2 linked regions of the Tamandua tetradactyla genome follow. The protein of the gene in region 1 binds, or shares a complex with, the protein of each later gene. Links are inferred from orthologs where the notes say so. Each region holds a gene or a part of one and is shown in the gene's direction. Other genes may lie near its edges. The genes, in order: TLN1 and PIP5K1C.

The links.
Region 2: the proteins of TLN1 (region 1) and PIP5K1C are in contact, whole or in part, in a crystal structure (PDB 1Y19), measured with the Mus musculus proteins. The link is inferred for Tamandua tetradactyla from reciprocal best matches to the Homo sapiens genes TLN1 and PIP5K1C. Residues at the interface, in NP_035732.2 of Mus musculus: Pro209, Val210, Gln211, Leu212, Leu214; in NP_032870.2 of Mus musculus: Pro646, Leu647, His648, Tyr649, Ser650, Ala651.

What each region holds. Positions count from the first base shown.
Region 1 is NC_135328.1:60,051,134-60,065,794, forward strand, and holds the start of TLN1 (talin-1), read left to right. Parts: upstream 1-8,970; 5' UTR 8,971-9,311; intron 9,312-14,661. Other genes in the region: GBA2 (non-lysosomal glucosylceramidase), read left to right, coding at 283-501, 823-1,062, 1,296-1,398, 1,555-1,708, 1,799-1,924, 2,134-2,306, 2,533-2,637, 2,860-2,967 and 6 more; CREB3 (cyclic AMP-responsive element-binding protein 3), read right to left, coding at 5,238-5,913, 6,540-6,608, 6,707-6,813, 7,895-7,984, 8,092-8,159, 8,235-8,406, 8,492-8,650. UniProt on the Homo sapiens protein: High molecular weight cytoskeletal protein concentrated at regions of cell-matrix and cell-cell contacts. Involved in connections of major cytoskeletal structures to the plasma membrane.
Region 2 is NC_135337.1:78,774,572-78,789,735, forward strand, and holds the start of PIP5K1C (phosphatidylinositol 4-phosphate 5-kinase type-1 gamma), read left to right. Parts: upstream 1-9,226; 5' UTR 9,227-9,321; coding exon 9,322-9,415; intron 9,416-9,676; exon of another isoform or gene 9,677-9,753; intron 9,754-15,164. UniProt on the Homo sapiens protein: Catalyzes the phosphorylation of phosphatidylinositol 4-phosphate (PtdIns(4)P/PI4P) to form phosphatidylinositol 4,5-bisphosphate (PtdIns(4,5)P2/PIP2), a lipid second messenger that regulates several cellular processes such as signal transduction, vesicle trafficking, actin cytoskeleton dynamics, cell adhesion, and cell motility.

The sequences.
Region 1 (14,661 bases):
AGAGGAGAAGGAACAGAAAGTGAAAGCAGAAGTGGTGAAGGCCTGGATTAGGGCACTAAAAACATAGTAATGGAAAAAGGAGAGGAAGCCTGGGAAATAGATGGAGTGGGAGGCAGCAGGACTTGGTGTGACTCCCTGAGCTTGGAAGAAAGGCCTGGGAGATCACTGAAGCTGGTGGTGCAATTTGCAGTCTTTGGAAGTGGAGGAGCTACTCTGAGGGGAAGTCCAGTTTGAGGTGCCTGTGGGTTATCCTATTCCAGCCTATCTGCCCTCTTGATTTAGTTCACAGTGTGCTTGCGTCGGGAAGGGCAGACTGTGTACCAGCAAGTCCTGTCTCTGGAGCGGCCAAGTGTCCTGCGCAGTTGGAACTGGGGCCTGTGTGGGTACTTTGCTTTCTACCATGCCCTTTATCCCCGAGCCTGGACTGTCTATCAACTCCCTGGCCAGAGTGTCATCCTCACCTGCCGCCAGATCACACCCATCTTGCCCCATGACTACCAGGTGAGGCTCCCTCTCTGTGTTCCCTCCATTGTCCTCCCTAATCCGGGTTCTGCCTCTACTGGAAATTCCATAACCTATGAATGGGAGGGGGTTGGAGCCATGAACATCACATTGGATTCCCAGGCCCACTGCCCCATTGGTTCTGGTCTTCATTTCCTGGTAGGTATCCTGCTTGGGAATATGTAGAGGTGGAAGTGGGAGACAGAAGAGACTATATTGGGGAATATTTGAGTCAGTCCCACTGTACCCAAGGATAATTTTGGAGAGCAGGAGCAGGATGGACTGTGCTGGGGACCACCTGAATCCGGATTTTGCCCCCAGGACAGCAGCCTGCCTGTAGGAGTCTTTGTGTGGGATGTGGAAAACAAAGGGGACGAAGCCCTGGAAGTATCCATCATGTTCTCCATGCGGAATGGACTGGGGGGTGGGGATGATGCCCCAGGCGGTTTGTGGAATGAGCCCTTCTGTCTGGAGCGTGATGGGGAGACTGTGCAGGGGCTGCTGCTGCATCATCCAACCCACCCAAACCCCTACACAATGGCGGTGGCTGCACGACTCACGGTAATGGAGGGGCGTGCCCTGTCCCTTAGCCTCTGAGCCCCTATCCTCACCCTGGCCCCTGAAACCCCCCTCCACCCTACCATGGTCTCTTGATTTCCTCACCTCCTAAGTCCCACAATCACCACAGTCCTTGAATTAGAACTTGGAAGGAGTATATAACAGGTACTGGAAAGTTAGTCAGAATCCAACATACCTGTGGAGTTCCTCCTCACAGTGTCTTTGGCCTTTAACAGGCAGATACAACGGTAACCCACATCACAGCCTTTGACCCTGATGGCACTGGGCAGCAGGTGTGGCAGGATCTGCTTCAGGATGGACAGCTGGACTCCCCTGCTGGTGATGGGGGGGTCTGATAGGGAGGTGGTGGGAAGAGAGGTTGTCCTTCTCTTGGGAACTGGGTGGAATGTAATGAACAGGCCTTGTCTCCACATTAGGGCTCCGTAGCCCTGGGGCTGAAGGGTGCTGTCCTGATTTCTCTTGTTCTTCTCTCAGGCCGAAGTACCCCCTCACAGAAAGGAGCAGGTATTGCTGGGGCTGTGTGTGTTACGGGCAAGCTTCCACCTCGAGGCCAGTGCCGCCTGGAATTCTCACTGGCTTGGGACATGCCCAGGATCATGTTTGGAGCCAAGGGTCAGACCCACTACAGGTGATGGGACTGAGAAAGTACAGGGATCCAAGGGGCTGGAGCCTTGCCTGGGACCCATATTCTCATCCCTCCCCTTTTTTCCCACCCCAGGCGGTACACAAGATTCTTTGGGAAAGATGGTGTTGCAGCACCTGCCCTTAGCCATTATGCACTGTGCCGGTATGCAGACTGGGAAGAAAGGATCTCAGCCTGGCAGAGCCCAGTACTGGAGGACAGGTACCAGTGGGGCCCATCTCTGTGGCCACCTTGCCTTTCTTCCAGGTATCCACTCCAATTGAAATTCCTTGATTTACTCTCCACCCACCAAAGTCAGCAGAATTGTGATGAGATTTGCTTGGTGTCTCTACTCTCCACTGAACCCCAGAATCTTTCCTTTCTTGGGGCATCCACACTCATTAGACCATTTCCTTCTCCTAACTCCCCAGATCCTTGCCTGCTTGGTACAAATCTGCACTGTTCAATGAACTGTACTTCCTGGCTGATGGAGGCACCGTATGGCTGGAAGTTCCTGAGGACTCCATATCCGAGAAGCTGGTGGGAAGCATGAGTCAGCTCTGTTCCATCTTTCGGGAATATGGTCGATTTGGCTACCTTGAGGGTATGGGCTACCAGTGGGCTACAGTACGGCAGGCCATACCCTCAAGGCCAGTGAGTGTCCTATAACAAGGCAGGATGATGGCAGAGTACTGATTGGGATGGGAGGGTAAGTGGCACGTGAGGACAGCTGACAGTGCCCCACATCCAATTCTAGAGAACAAGTTAGAATGGGGGCTATGAAGCAGAAGCGGAATTCTAGTGATAGTATGTCTCCCTCATTTCCACAGGCCAGGAGTATCGCATGTACAACACATATGATGTCCACTTCTATGCTTCCTTCGCCCTCGTCATGCTTTGGCCCAAGCTTGAGCTCAGCCTGCAGTATGACATGGGTGAGGGTCCCTCTTATGCCTCTTCAACTCCCTTGTTCCCCACACCCCTAAACTGTTGTGGCCACTCAGATTCTTTTCCATCCCCTTCTCCCTAATACGTATCTGCGCCCTGCTTACTGGTTCCCTTCTAGGGCCACACACACAATTTTGGGTCCCACCCCAAGTTTGCCTATTCCTGCCAACTTGGGGTAGTACACTCCAAGTATATGTGTGCCTCCCCAGCTCTGGCCACTCTCAGGGAGGACCTGACACGGCGTCGGTACCTGATGAGTGGGGTGATGGCATCTGTTAAAAGGAGAAACGTTATCCCCCATGATATTGGGGACCCAGGTAAAAAGCCCTCTACTTCAAGGTCATCTTCCCTCCCTCAACTTTTACACCCTGTATCCTACTCACCAGTGCCAATTAACCATGTACCCTCCCCTCCCCCAGATGATGAGCCGTGGCTCCGGGTCAATGCATATGTGATCCACGACACCGCTGACTGGAAGGATCTGAACCTGAAGTTTACACTGCAGGTGTATCGGGATTATTATCTGACGGGTGACCAGGACTTCCTGAAGGACATGTGGCCTATTTGTCTGGTAAGGGATACATGTACAGTGGCCAGTGTGCCAGAGTCATGACTGGCTTCTGGGGAAAGCCTAGCTGACATTATCTTTCTTTAGTATCTAGGTCCTCAATATCTGTGTCCCTTCCCTAGGCTGTGATGGAGTCTGAAATGAAGTTTGACAAAGACCATGATGGACTTATTGAGAATGGAGGCTATGCAGACCAGACCTATGATGCATGGGTTGCCACAGGACCCAGGTTAGGAGATAGGGGGTTCCAGGAAATCTGAGATGAGGAACTGGGCACCAGGGGATGGTGAGGCTCAGGAAAGGGTACTTTATTTCCTGTTTTATTGCAAGAGAGTGGCTGGAGCTGCCAGTCTGACTCCCAAACCCATATTCCTGATCAGTGCTTACTGTGGAGGGCTGTGGCTGGCAGCTGTGGCTGTGATGGTCCAGATGGCTGCTCTGTGTGGGGCACAGGACATCCAAGATAAGTTTTCTTCCATCCTCAGCCGAGGCCAAGAGGCCTATGAGAGGCTGCTGTGGAATGGTGAGTTGGGGGAGGGTGGCTGGAAGGTCCTAAAGTATCTTAAGGCAGCTCTGGGGATACAGGGAGCCTTACTTTGCTCTTCCTCTACCCCAGGCCGCTATTACAACTATGATAGCAGCTCCCAGCCTCAGTCTCGTAGTGTCATGTCTGATCAGTGTGCTGGCCAGTGGTTCCTGAAGGCCTGTGGCCTAGGAGAAGGAGACACTGAGGTGAGAGGGACTAGAAAGAGGAGCCAGAGAGAAATGAGGAGTCTCCCTGGAGGTGTGAAGCAAGTATAAGGGACCATGTTTCTGTGCTGCCCCTCCAGGTATTTCCTACCCCTCATGTGGTCCGTGCTCTCCAAACCATCTTCGAGCTCAATGTCCAGGCCTTTGCTGGAGGGGCCATGGGGGCTGTGAATGGGATGCAGCCCCATGGTGTCCCTGACAGATCCAGTATCCAGTCTGATGAAGTCTGGGTAGGTGTGGTCTACGGGCTGGCAGCCACCATGATCCAGGAGGTAATGCATTCCCCTCCCCACCTCCCTACCATTGGCACCTTAGTCAGCAAACTTCCTCAGCTAACAAACTTCTTCAAGGCCTAACCAATGGCATCTTATCCTTAAAGCCTCCCCCTTTCCCCAGGCATGCATCCCAATTCCTATCTCCCTCAGTCTTCTGCTTGGGTCAGGTTTATCTTCCCTACCAGCTGGGAGCTCCCTGATGGCAGAGAGCCTATAGTCTCCATTTGTCCAACTGAAGTGGCTGTTCTGTGGATACCAATATATGACTGCCTGTTCAGGGGTTACCAATATATAACTGCTATCTCTCCTCACAGGGGCTGACTTGGGAGGGCTTCCAGACAGCTGAAGGCTGCTACCGCACCGTGTGGGAGCGCCTGGGTCTGGCCTTTCAAACCCCCGAGGCTTACTGCCAGCACCAGGTGTTCCGCTCGCTGGCCTACATGCGGCCACTTAGCATTTGGGCCATGCAGCTGGCCCTTCAGCAACAGCAACAGCATAAAAAGGCCTCTAAGCCAATAGCTGAACAGAGCACAGGGCCTAAATTTGGACCAAAGGAAGTCACAACAAACCTGAGCCCAGAGTGAGCCCTCTGAACTATGGGAGGAAGACAATAACAGCCCAGCCTCCAGCCTGGCCTTTTCTCCCTCCCCCAAAATCTCCTGCAGCCCTGAGCCACCAGGACAATCATGCCTCCTCCCTTTCCCTTACCCAGCTATGCCAGTAATGAGGGGTTGGGGTGATCCAGGCATCAAAATTACATATTTATTTATTTCCTCACCACTTTCTCCTACTGCATGAAATATTCAAGGAGGCCAGTTGATTCCCCCAGGCCCATTCATGGGGCAAGAGAAACACCAAGATACTAATAAAGGACCCAAAAAGCCAGTAAGTCTGGTGTATTTGAGCCCCCAGGCAGTTCTCTCCCATTCTTTTTTATTTGGATATAAACTGGGAGCCCAGGCTCCTGCTGAGCACCCTCCCCTCCATTCTCCATCTAGCCTGAGTATCTGCCCTGCAAGATCACAGATGAGGGGCTCTGGGTAAGAAGCCATCTCCTTTCTTTTGTGAGATTTACCTGCAGAAGGATGGGACTTGGGCAGAGGGGCTTTGAGAAGGAGTCAAGGATTGGCATCCTCAGGGGAGTCTCTGCACCAGAAGCCTGAAGTATGTGATATAGCAGACAGGAAGAGTTGCCAGGGGCCTGGAACACGTGGTCTGAGCTATCCAGCAACTGGTTTGTGCTGTCCTTTGGTACCTCTGACCGCAGGACAGGCCATTCCCACTGGTGAGGCTCCTCACTGGGGAGAGCACGAAGCTGGCGGGACAACACTGAGGAGACAAAGAAGGTCTTCAGAGGTGGGCCCAAGCCCTTTTCCCCAGCCTGTACCTTAATGGTATCCTCAAGCCTCTCACCTCCATGTTCAGCTGGAAGGCTCCCCCGTGTGTCAGAAGAGTACATAGCAGGCACGAGGAGGAGGCAGAAGGAAAAGAGGAGGACCTGGAGCACAAAGAAATGAAGACAGGTTCTAGACTGCACCCTGCTCCCATTTCCCGGAAAAGGACCTCCTTCCGTCATCATCCTCACCAGGACACAGGTGCTGCTGCTGCTGCTTTTGTTTGATATCTGAATCATGATGGCCTGGAGTTTCCTCAGCTGATCCAGAAGGGACCTGAAGAAAACAGGGACAGTGAGCAACCCCTGGCCTGGCTGTTAAGGCCACTCCCTCCATCTATGCACTGGATCCTTTATCTTTTCTTCCTATTTTTACCAATAACTTCTTCCTTTCTGCCAACAAAATGTCTCAAGTTCCTCATTAAAACAAACAAACAAAAAAAACCTCTCTGCCTTGCTCTGACTTATACTCCTTTGCAAATACCTATAGTGTTTTTTTTTAATGCCCTATCAACTAGGCAGATCATATTCACCAGGCATTCCCTGCACTCTACCTTCTGGTCCCAACTCTACCATTTTACGGTTCCAATCAAACCGGACTATGTTTTATTCTCTCTGCCTAGAATGCTTTCACTACTCCCAGAATACTACTCCCTATTAAATGCCATCTGCCCCATGAGGTCTTTCTTGCTTTCCTCCTTTCTCTTACTTGGTACTTATTTATCCTTAGTTACTCTGAATTTATTTCCCCATTACTGCAAGCTTCTTGGAATCAGAGCCAAGAGAAGTCCAAGTACCAGCCTCACATGTGGGAGCTGCCCAGTGAGAAATCAAGTGTGGCGCAGGGGAAAGACAGCATTAAATGGGAAGGAGAGGAGGGACTGATACTGGAGGGTTGCTTACAGATTCTGTTCCTCCAAGAGCTGTACTTTGTTCTTTAGCTCCAGATTCTGGGCTGTGCATTTCAGCACCCTAGGGGAATAAGACAAGCATATGGCCTGTATCTTCCCTTCAAAAGCCAACTATCTCTCCTCCCCCAACTCCTCTCAGAGTCCCTTTCCCCTTCATACCTGCTTTCTAGACCCCCCACGTACATCTTCTTCTTTCTACGACTCTCTTGAGCAGACTTTTTGTTTCGAATCTTCCTCCGCACTCGTTTCAGAGCTTGTTCCTCCACCTGGGAGAAGAGAGGAAAGGAACATCAGAGAAACATGGAACCATAGAGTTAGAGAGTAAATGAGTTCAATCTTCTTCCCAATGTAGGAAACCTTTTCCAAAGTGTCCCTGACCAACAAGCACTAGACTTCTGTCTGAATGCTTCCAAGTGTCAGATGTTAATACTCCCACAAACCCAGATCAAGTTTAAAATCTTTCTTATCCTGAGCCAACATCTGCCTCCTAATTTCTATCCATTGGGCTTTAGTGTCTGATATCTGGGACCATGTAGAATAAACCATGTTTAGCTATTTGGCACTTGACATTTCTTCACAATCTTCCTCAGAGTTAAAAACAAAAGTAAAACTTGCTCAAAATGTGTAATTCTTCATCATCCTGCTCTCCTCAGGGTGGACTCCATCCTGTTAATAACTGTCAATGATCTGGGTTCCAAACGGGACACTAAGAAATGCTTTCACTAATTAAGGAGAGCAACACCCCTATCAATAGAGTCTCCAGATCCCATTCATTTTTCAGTAGCCACTTCATGTTAATGACTCATCTTGTACTTTTTTAAGAAGTTAAAATTCCCTTAATCTTTCTGTCAATGAACATTGATTTTATCACTGTATCACAGTGTTGTGCTTGTGAAATTATCACTCATTGCCTGTAACTTAAAAATCAAGAATTTACATTTATTTTCGTTAAACTGTTGAGTTCAGCCTTGTCAAATTCTAAAGCTCAATTCTACCATTCAGCAAGAGGTGGATTACCATAAAGCCATAGATATCTAAGTTTCAGGGCCCCTCACTTGGCACAGTCTTTGCTGAGACCTTATACTAATGTTGCACTGATAATTTTGAATTTTTTTCTTAAAAAGAACATCAAAATTTGTATAAGCTTCAGACCCCACAAAATCAGCATCTGCTTTTATTTCTAGCATATTAACTACATGCCCCAGCTTCCTGCAAGCAACAAATTTGCTAAATTTCTTACCTCAGTTCCTTTACAAGTTACTGATAATACAATTAACAGGATTGACCTGCTTGGCACTCATACAGTGTCCCCTCCCCACAAGCCTTTGCTCCCTATAGGACTCTTACCTTAGTGAGAGGAAGAGTCCCAGGCAGAGTAAACCCCTCCTTCTCCAATAGCCTCTTCTCCTCATCGGTCAGTATCAGACTACCAATCTCCTGGGGTTATGGGGTGGTGGGCAGCAGAGTTGCATGAAGATGTCAGAAAATGGGGAATCCTGCCCCCCCCATACAATTTGGGATTAATCCTCCCATAAGTCAAGTACCTGCTCTGCCTGCTCCTCCACCTGCAATGGAGTCATCTGGGGCCCCTTCTTTCCACAGCTCCCACTATCTGCAAACAAGAAAGTAAGAATAGCCAGGTCCATGAGCCCTCTCCTCTCTCAAATTTCATTTATTTCAGACTCACCGAGATCTACAGAGCTATATTCCTGTGGGAGGGAGTAGGTGTGATCATGGTAAACGGGACAGAGGTTGGAGAAGCTGAGAACGTTCAACGATGGTGGGGGGCTCAGCAGGGAGGTCAGGAAATCCTCCACCTCCCATTCGCTCAGTACCTGCACAGGGTTCAAATTAATGGGCTGTGACTGATTACTAAATCTCTGCTTCACGAATGCCCCCCTCCCCCTCCGGCCCGCGCCTCCCCGACACAGAACTCTCACCCACCTCAGCGAGTGGCAGCTCCCATTCCTCCGGAACCTCCACGGCGGCCTCCTCGGACGCCGCCCCCAAATCTCCGCTTTCCTCTAGCAGGAAGTCCAGCAGGTCCTGGTCACCGGGGCCCAGCGCCAGGTCCATATCGGTTTCCACGGGGGGTTCGACCATCTACCCAGCCCCAAATCCCGTGCCCCAGGAATAACCTCCAGCCCAGTATGCCTCCCCCAAATATCGTAGGGTTTCTTTTCCGCCGGGCTTTCCCCTCTAGAGTCTGACGCGCCTCCCAGAGCCGATTCTCTTCAGCTTCCAACACAACAGAAGTGACGCTTATAGCCCTCATGGCATTCTGGGACATGAAGTTCCTCCCAATGCAGAAGTGGCCTTGGGGCCGCGCCACGTCCCTGGGGCTATGCAAACTAGAGCGGACGTTCCTGCTGGCCACCTCACACCCACGGGGCGGGGATTCTAGGGATCCGGCTCCGCCTTCGCCCAAAACGAGAAAAGGAAGGGTTAGAGACTAAAAGGGAACTTGGGCACGGTTCGGACGTTTTCGTCCGACCGCGCCGCACCCTTGCTTCCTGCCGGGGAGGGGCTGCGCGTCTTCGGCGGGCTGCCGAGCATCGAGAGCTGGCGCCAGAGCAGCTTCCTGCAGTCCCCGCAACCATAGAGCGCGGGCTCAGGGCGCCGCCCGCGGGTGGGGGACTTTCCGGGGACGGAAGTGATCGAGAGAGTGTCTCTCGGCGGGAGGGCGAGGCCGGAGCCCGAGAACGACCGGGAGAAAGAGCGGGGTAGCGGGCCGGCGGGCGGGGCACAGAGCCGGGCAGCGCAGGTAGGCCGGACGGGGCCGAGCGGGAACGGCGGGGTGGGGCCGCGAGGCTGGACCTGGGAGGCGGGCTGGCGCGCGGGCGGGGCCGCTGACTCTTCCTGCGTCTCCTGTTTCGGATCCTCTTGGAGAGGTCAGCTTCCAGTTAGTGAATGTCGCATTGGATTCAGAACTAAGTAGGCTGTTTGCTGGAGCCAAGCCCTTCCTGGGAGCAGTCCTTTTCCTGAGATGGGCTTGGGGGAGGGGGAGGACTTGGTTGGCAGTGAAGCTCGGGGCGCGGATAGGCTTTGGGGTTAGTTGATAGCGGCTATGTGGATAGGAAAGCTTTGGGTGAGTTTGGTATTAAGTGGCATAGGGTTTAGGATTCAAGGTTAGCTTTAGGAGTTAAGACTTAGAGTTATTAATGTGTCAGGTCCGGTTTGTAGGCAAGGTTTAGATTAAGATCATGGTTTTGTTTTTTAGGATGGCTAGCAGACGTCAGAGTTAAGAGTTAAGGGGTCAACAAATGGGAATTAGGTTAGACCTACATTTTAGGGATTAAAGATCGTTGGCGTGGTTAGGTATGAGGAATAAGCAGTGAAGGAGTGGGTCAGGAATCAAGTTACACATGAGCTTTAGGTTTAGGGATCAACATTTAGGGTTAAGGTTGAGGGGGTTCCCAAAGGTAAAAATCAGATCGGTATTATAGATCAGGGATTGGGTTACCATCTCTGCTGTGAAAGAGATGAATGTCAAAGCCAGTACTGGGGATCAAAAATAAATTAGGGTTGGGGTTAATGTTAGGAATTAGGGGCAACTTTACGGTTATGGTTGAGGTCAGGGTAGTTGAACTTGTTCTGGTGAAATTTAAGAAGTTCTTGGTAGGTAGGTGCCCTTGTTTTGGGCAGAGGTCTCATTCCTTTGTAGTCACAGGGAGCTTCTTGGGCTAAATTCAAGCTAGAGTTCTGGGCTTCAGTTGGAAGTGCAGGTGTCTAGGATTCCAGCATCTCTATCCCATCCTCTAAGACCAGGGCTCGTATTGTGGTCATTAAAAGTTGGAGGACTGGAGTTCCTAGACTCTTTTGTTTAAAAGAAGGGAGGTAGAGTGGGGATAGAGGCCCAAGAAATGTATAAAGCCAAATCATAAATGGGGGACTACTAAGGGAGAAGGGATTAGTGACTAAGGGAGAAGCCGGCCAAGGAAACACTGTTGCCCTGGTGAAGAGAATGGCTGAATCCCCCAAAAGTTCACCCCATTGCCTCTCACTGTCCTCTCATTCTCTAAATGTTTTTTAAATCTCTCCAACTGTCATTCCTGGCCCTGCATTTCATTCCCTCACACGAATACTTCCCTTGCCTTTAACCCTCTCTTATTATTCATTTTACTTAAGTTCCCAACCTTAATTCTGCTTCCCTCTCCCCTTCTTAATCCACACATCTGACCTTACTTTACCCTCACCCCAAAACTTGAGCTTTCCCATCATTTTAAAGCACTCTTCTCCCATTCTCACCCACTCCATCTATACCACCCTTTTTCAGCACAACGCAACTGCTGAACACCCCAGTCCCTGCTGTGTGCCATCCTTTAATTCTTAGCCTCCTTGAATTTCTTGGTCCATTTGCAGATCCCCTTCCCCCACTCCCCAAACAGAAAAGAGGAAATGAGACCCAAAGAGGAAACTGGGTCTTGCTGATCCCACGCCCAGCCAGGCCACTGACCACACCCCCATTTCACACCCAGCCTGACACGGCCACTGACCACAACCCTATGCCATACCCAGCCTGACCCTGCCACTGGCTATACCCCACACTCCACCCCCAAACTCCAGCTTTTCTTAGCCACAGCCAGTGTCCCTTCACCCTCATCTCCAGCCTAATTTGGCCACTAACCACAGCCTTATTTCTTCCCTACCCTCTCTAGCCTGATCTGGCCTCTGACCTCACTCCATCTTTCTCTCTGAGTCTGACATCTACTGCCCACATATTCATTCCTCCCCTTGCCCCAGCCTGATCCAGTGACTGATCATATATTCATATTTCCTACTATTGTCATCACCACTAGTCTTCTCCCTCCCCATATTGATGCATTCACTGACCACACCCCATCTGCCCCTACCTGCCTACTAACCACGTATCCATTTTTCCCACCGCCTAACCATACACCCTAACCACAGCCTCATCCTCATATTCCCAGCCCAGCCTGATCTGTCCTCCGTCTTCCCATTTTCTTACCTAATCTCATGCTACTACCAATGACAGGAAGCTATGGAATTCCAGCCTAACCGTGAGTCCTTGTCTGATAAGATTGACAGGACAGACTGTTGTCAGGTCCTGTCAGTTCTACCTCTTAAACTTTCTTTAAAGTGACATCCTCCTCTCCACCATTCTAATCTTGGCTTTATTATCACTTACATTTGCTAATATGGTGTCTCTCTAACCAATCTCCTAGGTAATTGCCAGAGTTATGTTCCTAAAAATCCAGTCCTGATCGTATCTCTTCTCTACTCAAAAGCCTCCCCTGGCCTCCTGTTAACCTCCAGAATGTAAAACTCCTCATTATCCTCTCTTGTCCTCCCCTGCCTTTCCATCCTAACCCTAACTTCCCCACCACTGCTCCCTTGCGGGCACCCATGCTTCAACCAGCCTACCTGCTCACTTCCCCGAATGCTCCTCCACAATTTCCTGCTTCTCCACTTTTGCATATGCTCTTCCTTCTGCCTGGAATGCTACCCCTGACCCATCTCCAGTGGCCTAGTGGAGAAAGCCTGGGTTCAGATCATGGCTCTACAAGTTATTAGCTGTGTGACTCTGGACAAGTGCTCTTTGAACAAGTACTTCACTTTGAACCTCAGTTTAATAATCTGTCAAAATGGAGATGATGCCTGCCTTGCAGGGTTGTTACATGTAAGGATCAAATGAAATTTTGTATACAAAGCAGTTAACATATAGTTAATAAATGACAGATCGTTATCATTTTTTATTATCATTATTATTTTTTAATCTAACTTCAAAGGACAACTTTTTCATGGGGACTTTTCCTATCCACCTTCCCTAACCTAATCAGATGGCTCTTATCACAGCCTGCTCTTTATTGTAATTCTGTACTTGACTTATCCATCCTCTTGACTGGGAGCTCCTAGAGGGCAAAGCTGTTGTCTTACTCATCTCCCTTCCCACCCACTGAAAGTTTTGGCCCTCGGCCTTCCCCACATTGGGGATGCTTACTGAGTGAATGAAGAATGCTTACTGGGTGAATGAAGGAAAATGTATACCTAAAGGAAAAAAGGATGTTGGGAGGAGGGGGGCTGTGTGCTTGAGATGGGGTGTATTTAGAGGGGAAGTTGCTTGCATTGGATGGAGTCTTTATGGAAAGATCAAATGGCTGCAGTGGCATCTGAGTCAGGGCTCGGTGACTGAGATAACAGATATACAAAGAGACGCCATGGAGGTAGCTTTGTGAGAAAGAGCTCTGTGATGGGGGTGTGTTTGGGGAAGAGAAGTGTGCATGGGATAGGGGTGTATGCGGGGAGGATGTGTATTGGGGAGGTCAGGCCCAGCCCTTCAGCTGCCCAGTCCAGCTCTAAAAGAGCCTCCGGCAGCTTGAGGCCGGATATGTCAGTCTCACCCACAACCCCCCCCCACCACCACCACCACAGTTGTGGACTCAGAGGCCAAATTTGGTAACAGACTGAGTATTACTCCCCCAACCCTCTTACTTTCTGGCTCTGCCTTCAGTTTTCTCTTCCCCTTTGTCCCTTTCTGTAACCCCCTATCTTTCTGCGGCTCCCTTTGTGGTTATCTACACAGACTGTATTCTCCATGTACCCCAAATTCCTTCCCCCAATACACTTACATTCCATTCCTTCCTGGGATTTGACCTCTTATCCTCCATCTCACCCTCCCCCCTAATTGCCCAACTCCTTTGGAATGCATTTCAGGAATGTCTTGAGGGAGGAGGAGTTCCCTGGGAGGGGGACACTGGTGGGGGGGGGGGGTGGAGACAGAGATGGTGTTGCTGTTTCATTCAATTAAAAAAATGGGGAAAAGGGAGCAAATTTCCCAGCCAGAGCAGAAACTGCTTCTCCCCATACTTCCAGGGACCCTATTTCATGCCACCACCCCATCCCACCCCAATTCATTGCTCCATTCTCTCTTGGAGCCATGTGGATGTCTGCTCAGGAACCGCCTGGGAGTAAGGGTAGGCATGACTCAATGCCCTTATCGGGGTCCCACCAGAGGTTTCCGTGCATGAGGGAGAAGAGGGTGTCCATGTCCGGAGGAAATAGGGGGGAGACATGCATTTTCAGCTGAGGTAAAGGGTCCTTTCAGTCCTGCCCTCAGCTCTCTTACTCCTCCAGCTTCTCTGACCCTCCAGCCCTCATTCGTGGTCAGCGACTCCAGTGCCAGGTCTGTCCAGCTATTGGGAGACATGCCCCAGGAATGTGAGTGTGTATGTGTGTGCACGCGCGCGCAGAGAGCTGGAACAAGGGAAACTGGGAAGATCCTCTCTTGTTTGAGGGTGAAGATAGAGCTATGGTTTCTTGTCTTGAAACTCTAGATTTTATAAAGCCAGAAACAGTCTTGTCAACTGTGCGGTTGCAGACCCTTGATCTAAACCTTTCCCACATCTGCCTCCTATCCCCTGTTGCTACCTGGATTTCCAGCTCTCTCACCCCATCCCATCTAACCTCCCCATCCTCCAAAAACATACCCCTTCCCAACTTCCCTACTTCTCAATTGTTCTTTGTATCCTAACAATCCCACTTCTGCTTCTAACCTTTTCTTTTTCTTCTGCTCTTTCTCCCTTGGGGCTGGCAATTTGCCAGAAGGGGAATGGGCACCTGGACTTGGTCATTCTTTTAGCTAGAAGCAGCCAATCCCTAGACCATCCCATCATCAACTGCCAGGTAGACTTGTCTTCTTGCCATCTGTGTGCCACCTGCTGCCTCCAGTGGCTCTTCCAGCCCACCAAGAGGTGGTCGTGCCAGGAGCTGCACTGAAAATACTGTCAGGGGAGGCAGCTGAGATGAAGGGCAGAGTTTGAGAAGAACTTGCTGACAAGGAGAAAGCATAAGAGGAGTTGCTGTAAGAACTGAGTATTTACTCAGAAGTAGTTTGAAATGTAGCAAGGACTGACTTAAAAAGACTGGGCTTTTTCTCTGACCCACCTTGAAAGTTTTTCCTCTCAGAGTCTGTTTTCCCCTGTGCAAAATTGAAGAATTGACTAGGTAATTTCAGATATAACTTTTTTTTTTTTTTTTTAGCTCAGATGCAGCTTCATTCAGTGTTTTAACATGATTAGGTATTATTGTGCTGTCCATTTTTGAGTTTTTGTATCTAGTCCTGTTGCATAGTCTGTATCCCTTCAGCTCCAATT
Region 2 (15,164 bases), on another chromosome or scaffold:
GAAGTTTCTGAGTCACCCAGCGCTGGCGGATGGTTTCGGCCATGGGACAGTGACGTCACTGGGAGAGTGAGTGTAGACAGAGAGGGTGGGCCAGGGCCAGCAGTGTAGACAGGAGGGGGCACGGGGCAAGTTGTATAGACAAAGAGGAGTGGCTGGTCTAGGACAAGCAGGGTAGAGAGACGGGGGTAGACCCAGGATAAGCAGTGTAGACAGAAGTGGGGGAGGAGGTCCCAGGGCAAGTAGTATAGACAGAGGCGTGTACCCAGGACAAGCAGTGTAGACAGGAGAGAGGGTGCAGGGTGAGTGGGGTTCCTGCAAGATTTCAAGGCACGTGTGGGGAGAGGATGTAGCCTTCTGTCTCCCCTGCTGGTCCTGGGTACCCTCCTCTGTCTACACTGCTTGCCCTGGGTCCCCCTCCCCTCCTGTCTACACTGCTCACCATGGGGCTCCGTCCTATCCATACTGCCTGTCCTGGACTCTCCCCCGCCATCTACACTGCTTGTCCTCCAGAAGAGACAGTGGAGAGACCAGGGGAGGGATAAACACCAGGGTGCAGGGTCCCCAGAGCCAAACAAAGCGTTTCAGGAAGGACAGATCCTGGGTGCAGCGGCTCAGCCACCAACCTGAGGGTCAGCCAGGCTGAGAGAACTCGATGGAGGAGGGAGCGGGTGTAAACAGCAGTCCTAGAAGCCAGGAGCATGGGACGCATGCTCAAGGGAGGGTGTTTGTCCCACTGACGACCCTCATCAGCTAAACTCCCCGCACCAGGACCCCCCTTTTGCCGACCCCCAATATAGAGCCTCCTACACCCAGATCCCACTTTTACAATATGCACAGCTCTGGTCTTCCTACTCTCCAGTCAGAATCTTAGGTGACTCCCCATGCATTGTTTACGCATTTATTGTACACCTACTGTATACCAACACTGTTCTCAGCACCACAGGTACTGCCCTTCTGGAGCTCACAGTCCAGCAGGGAGAACAGACATTAAACAAAGAGTTGCACCAAAAAATATGTAATGAATAAGCAGTGGCTTCAGCTCAAGAACATTCAATAGCTCCCCAGCATTCCTTCAAAGTCCCGTGCTAGGCTCTGGCCACACACTTAAAAGTTATCAATGTCTTTGAACAATTTTACAACTCAGTAAATTATAGGAAACTGAAGCTATCGCAAAGGAATACTGCAAATTTCTGTAGAAATGCAAATGAATCCTGTCCTGTGGAGAAGGTACAATTGATTATTGCCCAGTGGCTTCTGATCAGTATTGCAACTATTTATAAATTCATTTCCACACTCTTGATTGCCTCTGTGTGTGTGCATGTGTTCTTATAAATTTTCCTTTGAATACCCACATTAATGAATGAGTTAGCCAAACTCATAAAATACCTATCTGTTTCATATCTGTATGAGAGACACGATTTTACCTCTGGGGGTAAAATCCTTTACTATCATAGAGCCCAAAAGCCTCATTCTCCCTCACCTGATCTCCGCTGACCTCCCAAGCTTCCTGTCCCTCCCACCCATCGTAGTCTCCAGACCCCAGAATATTCCACCCATTTTCCTTCCCTGCCTCTGTTTCTCATATATCAGCAAATGTTGTTGGTTCTACCCAAATCCTTCCAGAATCTGCCCTCTTCTTTTCCCTCGACCTCTGGGCTCCTGTCCTCACCCCCACGCTCTGTGCTCCTCACACAGCCAGAGGGCGCCCATGAGCATCTGAGTCAGGGCCTGTCCCTCCTCTGCCCACAGCCCTCCATGGCTCCCACTTCCCTCCAGGGGGGAAAGCCCAGGCCACCAGGACCTGCATCACCTTCCCAGGCCCCTCCCTGGCCTCCCCGCCTCCTGCTCTCCCCCTCCCCGCCTCTGCTCCAGCCACAGGGGCTTCCTCTAAGACGCCAGGCTCAGTCCTGCCCCAGGACCATGGCACAGCCTGCTCCCTCTGCCCCAAAGGCTCTTTCCCTAGAGATCAGTTGGGCTGACAACTCACTTCCTTCAAGTCTTTGCTCCAATGTCACCTTCTCAGTAATCTTTCTATTTAAATCTGTAAAACGCCTTCTCTTCCCCCCTACCCACACATCTGACAACCCCATCCTCTTACCTCTTTCACTTCTTTTTCTTTCTCCTGTCAGACTTACCCTCCTCTCACCCAGGATACAATTTACAATGCAATTCACTCATTACATTTGTTGTTTCTTGTCTGCCTTCTCCAAAACATAGACGCTCTGCAAGGATCGGAATCTTTCTCTACCCTGTCCCTTGCTGAATTTACACCCCACCACCATCACCAAAGCCTAGAAGAGCACCAAGTACACAGTAGGTGCTCAATAAATGCTGTTCCCCGGCCCAGGCGGCCCCTCCTCCCAGTCGGCTCCCTCTGACCTCAGCTCATTCCAAAGGGTGTCAGACTCCGCCCTGAGCAAACACTGCACCCTGGGGCGCCCGGCCAGGCCCTAGCAGGAAGAAAAGCCACCAAATGCCCTCACCGTGGACTTTCCCCAGATTTTGAGGCTGGTGGAATCTCCCAGGCCCTGGCCTTGCCCCAGGTTCAAGCCTGAGTCAGGGAGGCAGGACTTTTACAAGATGCTCAGTCTGGGGCATTTGTTCGGGGTAGGGACGCTCCCTACCCCACTCTTGCATTTCGCCTCTGGAGTGCCCCCTGCCCTTGCTCTGCAGCCCTAGGCCAGCACCTACCCTCTCTAAGCCCAGATTTTTCCATAAAACGGGAAGTGCAACCAGCCTCATTCTCAGTTCCAAAGTTGAATGTGGGGGAAGGGGGGCTTTATCCTGTCCCCTACCTGATGGAGAATCCATTACCAACAATATTGCAATACCTTGGAACCAGGTGACATTTTAGAGAGCAAAAAAATAAATAAAAATAAAAACTGAGATGGGGCTAGAGGAGAAGAGGCTGGAGGCCAGGTCTGGGTGACTCCATGGGTTTTCTCTCCCAGTCCCAGGCATGGTGGGATCTGACAATTCACTCGTGTCCCCCTCATCTTCCTGTACATCACCCCAAAGACCTCAAGTATTCCTCCTTCCAGGATGACCCCAAACTAGAAGCAGGCTCCGCGACCAGATCTCCTGGGCCCCAGGGGAACACAGAGGCTGGAGGCTGCAATCTGACACTCAGCTCAGCAGGAAGCTTCCTTTGTCCCGCCTGCTTGGGCACAAATGACCCAGAAAACTGCTGTCAGCGGACCCCTCTGCTCTCCAGGCTCTGGGCTTCCATTTCCCTTCTGCCTCCTCGGAGCGCTGAGTTCTGCAAAGGGGACAGCTGGGCCGACCTCCGCCACTGCCTGCCCGCATTTCTGAAGTTGCCTGGGAAAGGGGTCCAGATAATTCCCCACCCCGCGACACGCTTCCAGACCCTGGAGTTTCCAGGAGCTGGGAAAGAGGAGATGCAATTTTCTGAAAGTCCCAAAACAACTTCTCTTTGGGAAGTTCCAGGTATTAGGCTGCCTCCCCACTGTGGCTTCTGGCTGCAGCAGGAGGCAACCCTGAGCCTTGGGGGGCATTGACATTCCCTATAGTTTGGGGGATCAGAGACAAACCTGCAGCCTGTGCAGCTCCCCCCACCCGGCCCGGCCCCACCTGGGACAATAATGACTCTTTCAAGTTTTGGGCCGCGGGGCCCTGGGCAGGCTGCCAGTCACGGCCAGAATGATAATCCCTTGGAAACTATGTCAAATGCCCACACAGGAGTGTCAGCTTCCTGCTTTCCGGGGAGTTCGGGGGAGGTGATTGGGGTGGGGGTGGGGGTCCCAGGACCCGGCCGTGGAGATGGCAGGCAGATCGAGGTGCCGGGGTGGGGGTGGGGGGGCAGGGGCGGGGGGTATCTTACCTGGGTGAGGAGCTGGGCAGGAGCCAGGGCCCAGGTGCCCACCTGGCACAAGGGGTGGGGAGGGGACCCGAGGACTTGGCTTTGGACTTCCCACCTGTTTGTCCAATTTCTCCTCCCTCGTGGGAGCAACAGTAGGCGGGCAGGGGTCCCTGCCAAGTGGAACCAGCGCAGGAGAGCAAGCCAGTGAGGGAGTGAGCTAGAGGCCGGCCCCCCTGGCTGGTTGGGTGTGTGGCTCTGTCGCAACGTGGGAGCAGCTGGCCTTAACCCCTGCTTACCCGGAGACCAGGAACACCGAGCCTTGCCCCGTCTGTGGCATTCACAGCCGCACCCCTCGGCGTGAACCAGAAGCTTGGCACATAGTAGGCGCTCAGGAGATATTTGCCGATCTATTAAGGAGTGAACAGTCTATGCCTCGTGGCTTCCCCTGCCCTCACCGTCCGCCTTGACCTTGGACGGCCAAGCCCTGACCCTTGCTGTGTCTTCCCCCAGTTATGCTCTCCCCTCAGATTGTGGCAGGGTTGGCTCATTCCGCCCACAATGCTGAGCTCACATCCTGGTCTACCCCTTCCGAGCTGTGTGGCCTTGGGTAAATCACACAACCTCTCTGGGCTTCAGTTTCCTCATGGGGAAAAAAATTTTTTTTTTTAATGAGAACTGGGCAGGGCGACAGTCACTCAGTGGCAGAATTCTCACCTGGCATGCTGGAGACCCAGGTTCAATTCCTGGTGCCTGCCCATGCCAAAAAAAAAAGAGTACCTACTTCCTAGGATTATTTCAAGGATTAAATGAATGAATACATATAAAGTGCTTTTTGCTAGGCATGCAGCAGGCCTGCTCCATGCGATTAGGTAGTCACTACCCACCCATGACTGGTCTGAATTAATCAGACGTACTGTGAGTGCAAACTACAGGGTGGATTTTGAAGGCTTCACATGCAAAAATGCACAGAAAACAGCTCACTGATTTATATAATAAGGAATTTATATTGAAATGATATTTTGGACATATTGGGTTAAAGGAAATATGTTATTAAATTTTATCTCAACTGTTTTTTTTTTACTTTAGCTACTAGACAAATTTTAAGTGACATCTGTGGTTTATGTTATAGTCCTATTAGAAGGTGCTAGAATAAGCATTCCATAGTATTACCTTCTGAGTCCTGCCTTTTCCTATCACGTGGGTCTTTATTTTTATTCCTTTGCGTTTAAAATATACACAACTTGAAATTTCTCTTTCTAATCATTTTAAGTGTGCAATGCTAAGGCATTAGTTACATCCACAGCATTTGTCTTTTTTTTTTTTTTTTTTAAGCATTTCTTAGCGGCGGAAAGTATCTTCTATCTTAGTCATTTGCTTGTTCCCCTTTCTGGAATATAACCTGGTTGGAGTCAGGGATGCCTCGCTGTGCCGGGTATACGGTAGGCGCTCAATACGTTCTCATGGATGCGTGAGTGAGTGAAGGAACAAACAAACCAACAAACCGACGGACGAATGAATGAAAGGATGAACTACGGGGAGGGGCGTGGACAAAACCCGCCAAACCCCTCCCACCTGCAGGCGGCCCCGGGCGCTGCAGTCAATGGCCGCTCTGGCCACAAGGGGGCGCCGGAAACCAGCCCACGGCCCCAACAGGCAGCCCTCAGTTTTCCACCCCGCCAAACGGGAATGGAGCAAGGAAGCAAGGGATGCCCCTCCTCTCTGTTCCCTGCAGCCTTATGCCTCCCCCCACCGCCTCCAGCTTTTTCTTTTAAATGTAAATGTTTTAATGAAAGACTTGCATGCCTTTCAAAGAGTCGAATAATTACCATTTCCCCAAGTCCATTCATTGGTTCATTCCCTTTTCTTAGCTGGTTAGTTTGACATTTACGTTCACGTCTCTAAGTAACATGTCTGTTTTCACCATTTCCTGATGTTTTAGTTTCGGCATCGAATTCCCAGCAGGAGGGATTCAATCAACCCCGAAGATGGTTTTTGTCCCCTCCTTTACCTCGGTTTCATTCATAATCGTTCACCACCAGCAGCCCCAGCCCTTCTCCAGTTGCCTTAATCAATGGTTCTCAAACTTCGTGGGGCATCCAAATCCCCTGGGGCTCGTTAAAAGTCACGTGTGGGGGCCGCGCCCAAGAGTTTCAGACTTGGGGGGTTGGGGAAGGATGGAGAGAAGAACTCACAATTCTAACAAGCTCCTGGGTGCTGCTTTGCCCACCCCGGGACCCCAGTTTGAGAACCTGCACTCTAAATCTTCTCTCAAGGCAGATTCAGGCTGACTCACGACTTCTATCCGTTTCCCTTTCCTAAAGAACTCTCCTTGGTGTCTTTGCACTGGTCCATCTGGCCCTGTCCTCCTCCACCCATCCCCCACCCCACCCATAGGTGTCCTCCGGAGTCTCTTTCAACCCCAACCCCGGGATTCCCTCTGCCCTCTCCTGGACCCTGTACTTGATATTTTCTCCTTCCTTGACGTGCTTTCTAACTGGCACCTGCTCCCGGTTCCTTGGCTGCCTTTTGTCCTCAAGTCAAAACACCAAGGAGCAACTCAGCCCCTGTGGAAAAACAATTTAGTGGTTTGTTCTAGTTTGCTAGCTGCTGGAATGCAACGCACCAGAGATGGATTGGCTTTTAATGAAAACTCCTAGCCAACTGCAGATGTAATCAGCAACAGATGAGGTTCACATGCCATCAGCTCATGTCGGCAGCAATAGAACTAGGCACCTCCCCCTGGCCAAGTTGACACCTGAACCAAACTACCACATGGTTCTTCAAAGAGTTACACGTAGAAGTACCACGGAATCTGACAATCCCACTCCTAGGTACATACCCCAAAGAACTGATGGCACGGCCTTGGACGGATATCTGTACACCCATGTTTGTTGTGGCATGATTCACCAATAGCCAAAAGGCAGAAGTAACCCAAGTGTCCCTTGGTGAATGAATGCAACAACAAAATGTGGTCCATCCAGTCAAGGGAATATTATCCGGCCATAAAAAGGAATGGAATTCTGATCCACGCGACAACGTGGCTGAACCTTGAAGACATGACATTGAGTGAAAGAAGCCAGACCCAAAAGGATGGATATTGTCTGACTTCACTTACACGAAATAACCAAGACTGCAAATTCGTAAGCCAGAAAGTAGACTCGAGGTTAGCAGGGGCTGGGCTGGGGTGGGGGTGGGGGGTTGGGGAGTTAGAGCTGAGCGGGTGCAGAGTTTCTGTTTCAGGGGAATGGAAAAGCTTTGATGACTGTGGCAAGACATTGTGAACATAATTGCTGCCACTGGATTGTGGGTTTGGAAGTGGTTAAAATGGGAAATTTTATCTTCATATGTTAGCATGCATATTCACTCTCCCACTCACTCCCCCCACCAAAAAAAAGAAGAAAAAAAAACCCAAAACACCAAGCACCTCAAATCCCAGCCTGCTTGACCTCCCAGGGAGTGAGGTGCACATTTTCTGGGGTCAGATTCGTCTGGATAAAACATCCTGATTCCTCTCTCCTCTCTAACTGGGAGAACTGGCTCCACGCCTGCCCCCCCCCAACAGAAATCATTCATAATTGAAAAAAGCAGCGAGAGCAAAATGTATGAATACCCAAATCAGGGCATTGGAATGAGGAACCACCTGATTGGTTCTTTGGCTCCTTCATAAACCCAACATTACTCATTCTTAACAAACCCCACAGTCACCTCTAACACCATAAGCAGCGCTGATTTCGGCATGATTCTCCACGTGATTCCAAGCAAGGGCTTTAACTCTCTGGGCTTCTTGTTTTCTCATGTGTAAAGTGGGGATGATTTTACATCCTGCGGTTGACTAATAGGTAAAATAGTTATCGTCTTTCGGTGCCAGGTTGTGCTAAGCCCTCAGAGGATATTAGCAGCCAAAAAGCAACCTGTCTCTGATTTATGGAGAAGCCGTGTGCACAGGCTTTGAGCCTGACACTCAAGCACTCAAAATTGTTTCTGTTACTGGGATATCGGTATCAATATCAAATGTTGAATATTAAGCAGCTATATTAAATTTTGAATATTAAAAATCAACATTAAGTGGAATATTATCAGCAATACTCTTAAATATAGATATTAAACATTGACTATTAAGTAGTAGTGTTAGCTGTTGGATATTAAATATCAATATGAAAGCGGAATATTATCAACTCCAATATTCAGACTACTGAATATTAGAAATCGCAAATGTCAAATATTAATATATTAAACATCGCATATGGATATCAGCTATCGATATTAGCATTGATATTGACATTAGTATTAAATATCAACACTAAAATAGAATATTATCAATATTAATATTAGCTATCCATACTAAATATGGGATATTTATATAGCAATATAAAAATCAAATATTAAATATCAATATTAAAAATTAATTTACTATCAACATCGATATTATGTGTACTATTAAACACTGAATGTTTAAACAGCGGTACTTAAATGTTGATCACTGAACACCACCATTAAACTGAATATTATCAATATTAATATTAAATATAATGCTAAATATCGACTATGTAAATAGTTTTATAAAAGTCAAATACTAAATACCAGTACTGAATGTTGAATAGTAACACCAAATATCAATATTAGCATTGATATCGAGATCAGTATTAAATTTTGAATACTAAATATCAATATTAAAATGGAATGTTATCAATGGTGATATTAAATATCAGTATGAAATACCAAACATAAGTAAAAACAAAGGCTGAATATTAGATATCCATATTAATATAAGATACAGATATAAGCATGATATAATATTAAACGTTGAATGCTTATTGAACTTGGCTAGTCTCAACATTAATATTAAGTATCAGTAGTAAACACTGAATATTTTGATATCAATATAAATGCAAACATTAAGTATCAATATTAAAAATATTACTATTAGAAATGGAATACTTAAATAGCAGTATTAAACCGAATATTATTATCAATATTAATAAATATCAACATTAAACGTTGGTTATTTAAATACCTATATGAAAGTTAAATGTTGAATGCCAATATTAAATGTTGAACAGCACTAAATATCAATATCGATATCAATGTTGACTATAAAATATCAAACCAAACGTCGATTATTAACGTCAATATTAATATTTTATTAATGTTAGCATTGACGTCAACGTCCGTATCGAATATTGGAAATGTCACTATTAGATGAGAATGACGCTGCACTCCCAACCCTGGACGCCGGGGGGCGCGCGAGGAGCTCCCGAGGCCGGGACGCACGCGGGCCCCGTCCCCGAGCCCCGATTGGCGGCGCGCGCTGTGCGCCACGGCGCCCGCCTGGCCCCGCCCCAGGCCCCGCCCCCGCGCCCGCGGCCCGGCCCCCTCCCTCGCGCTCCAGCCGGCAGCGGCGGTTGTTGTTCAGCGGCGGCGGCGGTGGTGGTGGTGGCGGCGGCGGCCGCAGCTTGGGTCGCAACCTCGGGCCGCTCGCCCGCAGGTCTGCGTGCACCGCCATGGAGCTGGAGGTACCGGACGAGGCGGAGAGCGCCGAGGCGGGGGCCGTGCCCACGGAAGCGGCGTGGGCCGCGGATAGCGGGGCGACGGCAGGTAACGGTTTTGGACTCCCTCCCCTCTCCCCGAATGGACCCGCCTGAGACCCCCCCCCCGCCGGGCCCAGTGGACCCGTCCGAGCGCTGAGGGGCGCGGGACCCGCCGCCTGCGGGAGGCTGGAACGTTCCACTCGGGGGCGCTCGCGGGGGGGACGGAGCGCGCCACGCCGGGGCCCGGGGGACGCGCCGGTGGGGAGGATGGAAAGCCCCGCCCTGGGACGCTCGGCGTGGCGCCGCCCACTCGGGGGTGTCTGGCGGCGACCCCCGGCCCGGAGGCGGCGGGTGGGCGTAGGGCCCCACTCTGGAAGGCCGTGGGTGGAGCAGCCCCTCTTGGAGGTATGCGGGGAAGGTGGTCCCCACTTCCCCCTAGGGGAGGGGTGGGTTGCGCCACTAAGAGCGGGGTGGGGGAACGCCCCAGGCTGGGGGTGCTTGAGGTGGTCTTCCTCCCCGCACTTTTTGGCGAGGGGGTGCTTGCTCTGAGTGTGCAGGATGGCCGGGTATCTCCATTATGGTGCCCGCCACGGGCAAGGGAGTGACACTGCCCTAGATGCGACCCCCTTGCCTGGACCCCCTCCTTTGGGGTGTCCCCCTCTGCGAGTTCCAGCTTCTCGGCCTCAACTCCTCCCCCACTAGCCATCACCTTTTTGGGCACACTTTGTTCATTTGGAAGGGTTGGAGCAGCTTGGGGTGCAGGTGGGGGCTCTCCGGCCATCTGGGTCAGCCTCCTGGCTCTGTCGTTTCTCTTTTTTCTGGAAGTCTTCAGACGTGGGTGCAGGTGCACTGCCCATTTCCTTACCACATTTCCGGATTGTGGTTTACCCACCAGTGAAACGAGGGCTGCAAAGGGATGACATTTGAAGGGGCCTTCAGTGCTGAGACCCCACCAGCAGGTCCTGGGGTCTTGGTGCCCTGTTCCCCAAGCCTCCCTGGGCACTGCCTGGCCGCTGTAGTTGGGGAAAGGGACCATGGCTTCCTTGTGTCCCACTGCTCCTCTCCTGGGCAGGCCTGGCTCACCTTCCTACAGAACAGGTGTGGGGAAGTAGGCAACCTGGCTCAGTGCCCCCGGATTCCCTCCTGCCCGGGTTTGGGGTGGTGTGCAGAGCTGAGCCACAGTCTCAAGGAATGGCTCCTTCCCAGTCGAGGTCGTACGCTACCAAGTAGGAAGTTTCCGGTTCTCTAGAATTCTCTGCTTCCTCCCACCCCCAGCAGCCCTCGCAGGCAGAGTCTCTGCAGACACCCACTTGGGCACCCGTCCTGCCTTCTCCCCCTGGGCCTCCTGAAGCTTCCTTGGCAGGCGAGGAGGTGCCTGGGAGCTGGGAGAAGCGTCTGGGGAGAGAGAAAAAACACAGGAGAGAGAGAAACACTTGGAAGTCTCCCCCCACTCCAAGCCCTCACCGCACCCCACCCCCTGGCTCTGGAAGGCTCTCTTCACTTCCTTTCTCCGTGCCATCTGGAGCCACTTGGTAGATGACCCGGTTAATTCCGACGAGCTGGTCGCCTCGTCCTTGCTCTTTGCCAGCAGTTGGTCGCCTGACCTGGCGAGTAGTGCACGTGGTGGGGGCACCTGGGGAAGTCAGGGTCCCTTCTCTGGCCCCTCTTCCACTGTCAGCCCTCTGGCCTGGGCTGCTCGGAGGCTAAATAACCCCAGACTGGCTGACCACAAGAAAGCAACACCGCAAATGTTGTCTTCTCACAGGGCTCTGCGAGCCAATGGGGGCGTGTGTGTACATATTGTCCCCTGCTCTGGCTGTGGCTGGGTCTGAGCGTCAGGGACCCCCCGAGAAGGAGCGCACCCTGCCTCCCTGCAGTGAGATCCTCCAAAATCCAGTTCCACTGGCCAGCCATTCATTTCACTCATTTTAAAATTCAGAGCTGCTGCCCCCCTCCCCCCACCCCAAACCCATCTTCCCAGTGTAAGTGCTGTTAGCTGCTTGTGCTTTCTTTATTGCTCGGACAAGGGTATAAATATGTAAATGGATCTGTGTGTTTTTTACTAAGATGGATTCGTTGTATAAGTGGTTTCTCTCTCAGCACTATTGACATTTGGGGCCAGAAAATTCTTTGCAGTGGGGTGGTGGGGGCACGCTCTGTGCATTGTAGGGGGTCGAACAGCCTCCCTGGGCTCCTCCGCCTGCTCGATGCCAGCAGCTCCCCTTCCCCCAGACATGACAGCTAAAAATGTCCCTAGTCTCCATTGAGGGTCCCCCATGGGCAGACTCACCCCTGATGAAAACTGCTGTCCTGTGCCTGTCCTATAACTTGCTTTTTCATCTGTAAAAATCTGGATTTCCTGTCCCCATCTGGGTTTGAATCCCAGCTGCTGTGGGACCTTGAAGGGCGGCTGCCTCAGTGGCCCCGTCTGTAAAATGGGGTCGATGATAATACTCACCTCAGAGGGTGACCGTGGCCTCGACCCAGTGTGAGCACCTCACAGACCTTAGGCTTACAGCCAGATCAGTGTTGACGTGTGTGCAAAGCCTACTGTAAACCTGCCTGAGGTTCATCCAGTTGTAATTATGCTGTCGTCGTTGTCACTGAACGTGACCTGCGCCCGCAGACACCTCCATTTCTAGCCGAGGGATTCCCAGCCATGGAAGGACCAGGTCCAGGGCATCCAGGCTTGAACCTGACTCCTTGATGCCCCACAGCTTGCCTCAAAGATTGGTGTGACTCGTGGCCTGTCCAACAGGGGCCGAGAGAGGCGGGGGGTTTCCTCCCTATGGTGGGGCTGGCTCCCGATGTGATCGGCCAGGCTGATTTGGGCAGTCCTGTGGGTGCGAGACAGGGTCTTTTAAGGGCTTAGAATCCGGTTCCTCTCCATGCATGGGCTTCTCACCCCCAGAGCATGGTCCAGGAGGGACTCGGGAGGGCTTGATAGAGGCTGTCCCTGCCGGCTCCGTTCATGGAAGGGGTCTCGGGAAGGCTTGGGGGTCGGAGATGGTCTCTGGGTGAGCCGCAGAGGCCGGCGACCTGCCTGGGGGCTGTGGTCCAGGAGTTCCCAAGCCTCCATCATGGTGACCCCTCGGGACAGTGTGCTTCGTTCCTGACCCCCTCCCCACCCTCAACCCTGGCCCCCATAGCGAGTGCTATACCTCGTCGGGTTTGCCTTCATAATTGGAACCCCCCCCCCCACACTTCTCCCTACCTCCTCTGCCTCCATTCCAGGCCAGCCCCAGTGTGGCGCGCCTGGGCCGGTGTGGTCATGCCTGCCCTGGCCTCCCCCCGCCCCAAGCTCCCTCCAGCTCATTCCAGAAGAGTTCTATCCCAAACTGGAATTTTTAGTGGCATCCTGTCCCTCCTCTGCCCACAGCCCTCCATGGCTCCCGCCTCCCTCCCCCAGGCGCTGCACGCCCTGCCCCATTCTGGGTGTTGGAAGAAACTGAAGACAACTGTCCCCTTGTAGCAGCCCTGAGCCCTGCATGTGTGCAGGGACCTGCCCCGTCCCCTCCCTGCCCTCCCCTCCTCTGGCTCTCTCCCTCTCTCCCTCCACTCCGGCCACACCCGCACTGGCTTCCTCCAGCTCACCAGGCCTGGCCCTGCCTCAGGGCCTTTTCATGGGAATATTTTTCCCCCATGTCTATGTGGCTTACTTCCTTAACTTTTTCAAGTTTTTGGGCAAATGCCACCGCTTCCGTGGGGCCTCCCCTGCCCCCTGCCCCATTCCCTTGAGCCTGCTTTGTCACCATCGCATTGTCAGGGCGTGACGTGCATGGCTTTTCTTCCTTGTCTTCTACCCTGTGAAGGCAGAATCGATTGTCTATGTAGTCCCCTTCATGTTCCCTTTACCCGGAATGCCTGGTACCCCACTGGGAAACGTCAGGTGAGTGAGGGAGCCGGCTGCCGAAGAAGGAAGAAAGCAGGAGGAGCTGCAAAAGGGAATGGGGTTGTATGGTAGCCCACAACAAACTCTGGGATCTGTCTTGTAACTACTTGTTGAAGAGTAATTTGAAAACTATTTTTTTTTCTTTGCTTTGTGTATATGCTGTACTATACAATAAAAAAAGTTAAAAAATAAGAAAAAGGGAGTGGGGTAGACAGGAACAGCTTGCCTGGAAGGAGACATTTGTGCGAGCCCTGCAGGAGACAGAAGTTTCTGGAGCATGCAGAGGGCACAGCCAAGGCCTGGGGCTGGAAGGGTACAGGGTCCCTGGAGCTGCTAGGGAGGCAGTGGTGAGCCAGACCTGGGTGGGGAGCGACCCTTTCCTCTCGGGCCCACAGTTGGAGTGAAGGGTCATGGAGACATGATGCCCCTCTGTCCCTCCTTATGGGTCAGCAGTGGCCAGGGCTGAGATTGTGGATTTGAGGACTGGCGGCTCCCGGTTCTACTTTGACCGCCGGCACCTTGGTCCCCAGAGTGGGGAGGCCTCAGCACCTAGGCCTCCTGGGTCCTCAGTGCACCCACCTGTGCGTGGGTGCTGTTCTCTGGGCCACCGCGGTACTGGAGCGAGCTCGGGCGCAGGGCCCACAGGCGCTGACCTCCGTGGACGTGTCAGCCAGATAGAGCAGGAGGGCTTTGGGCTCATTTACCGAGGCTGGCGGTGGAGTGGACTTTTCTTCAGTCCCAGGATGGGCATTTATTAAGCATGTAATGAGCTCCTCCTGTGGGCCAGGTGGGGTTCCAAGTGTCGGGGCCACATCAGGGGCTGAGAGCAATGCCCTGGCTACCCCCATGGAGCCCTCAGGTCATGGGGTAGGACCCAGGGTGCGGGAGGTGAGCAAGGGGACACTTCAGGCCAGGGCTTGGCAGGCTGCGGCCCGTGGGCCAGATCTGGCCTCCTCTGGTTTTTGTAAATAAAGTTTTATTGGCACACAGGCCCACCCGTTCACGGGCACATTCCCTCTGGCGGCTTTCACGCTGCAGTGGCAGAGCTGAGGAGTCATGACACAGGCACAAGGGGCCCGTGGCTCCAGAAACACTCACTGTCTGGCCCTCAGCAGAAACAGTTTGCCATTCGCTAGATAAGATCAGGCTGGACAGCCATGAGTGTGCTGGGGAGAAGGAAGCAGGCCGTTGTGGGGACAGCGAGGGGCCAGGACCTGCTGGCCCGGCCGCCGAGACCTGGATGAGAAGGTGCAGCCACGGGCAGGCAGCAGGGGTGGTGGGCGCGGAGGCCGCAGGGCGGGAGGGCACGGGCATGTGGGAGCAGCAGAGGTAGAGTCGGTGTAGTCAGGGGGGAGCCAGGGGGCCTCAGCGGGTGGAAAGAGGTGAGAGGGATGTGGATCTCCAGGTGGATTTTGGCCTGAGCCTGGGGAGCCAGTGGCTGAGGGCAGAAGAATTCAGGTGGGGCAGGTCTTGGGGGACCCAGAGCTCTCTGCAATGCTGGAGCTAATAGTGGGTAGAGAGGGCAGTGGAGGGCTACTGGGAGGCTCCTGGGGCAGGTGGACCTCCCAGGAGGCTGGATGAGCTGGGGTACAGCCATGCACCCCCAACTGTTTCTCCCAAACTGAGGGCACTTGGTGTCCTGAGGATTCAGCAGCACAGAAAGAGGTGAGTCCCAGCCCTCGTCACTGCTCACCAAACAGTGACTGCGGGGCCAGGACATTTACACATGGGGAAACTGAGGCTCGATAGGGTCTCTGAGGGCCGTGAACCCTCAGGCCTTCCCTCCGTCCCTCCACCCACCGCTGCTGTCTTGGCCCTGTTGGGGTTGCCCGGCTCCGTGCCAACTGGGCGTGAGGGGTGGATGGAGCACGTGCAGGGATTATCCAGCTCGGGGATTAGGTGTGCGGGGGGTGGGGTGGGGGTG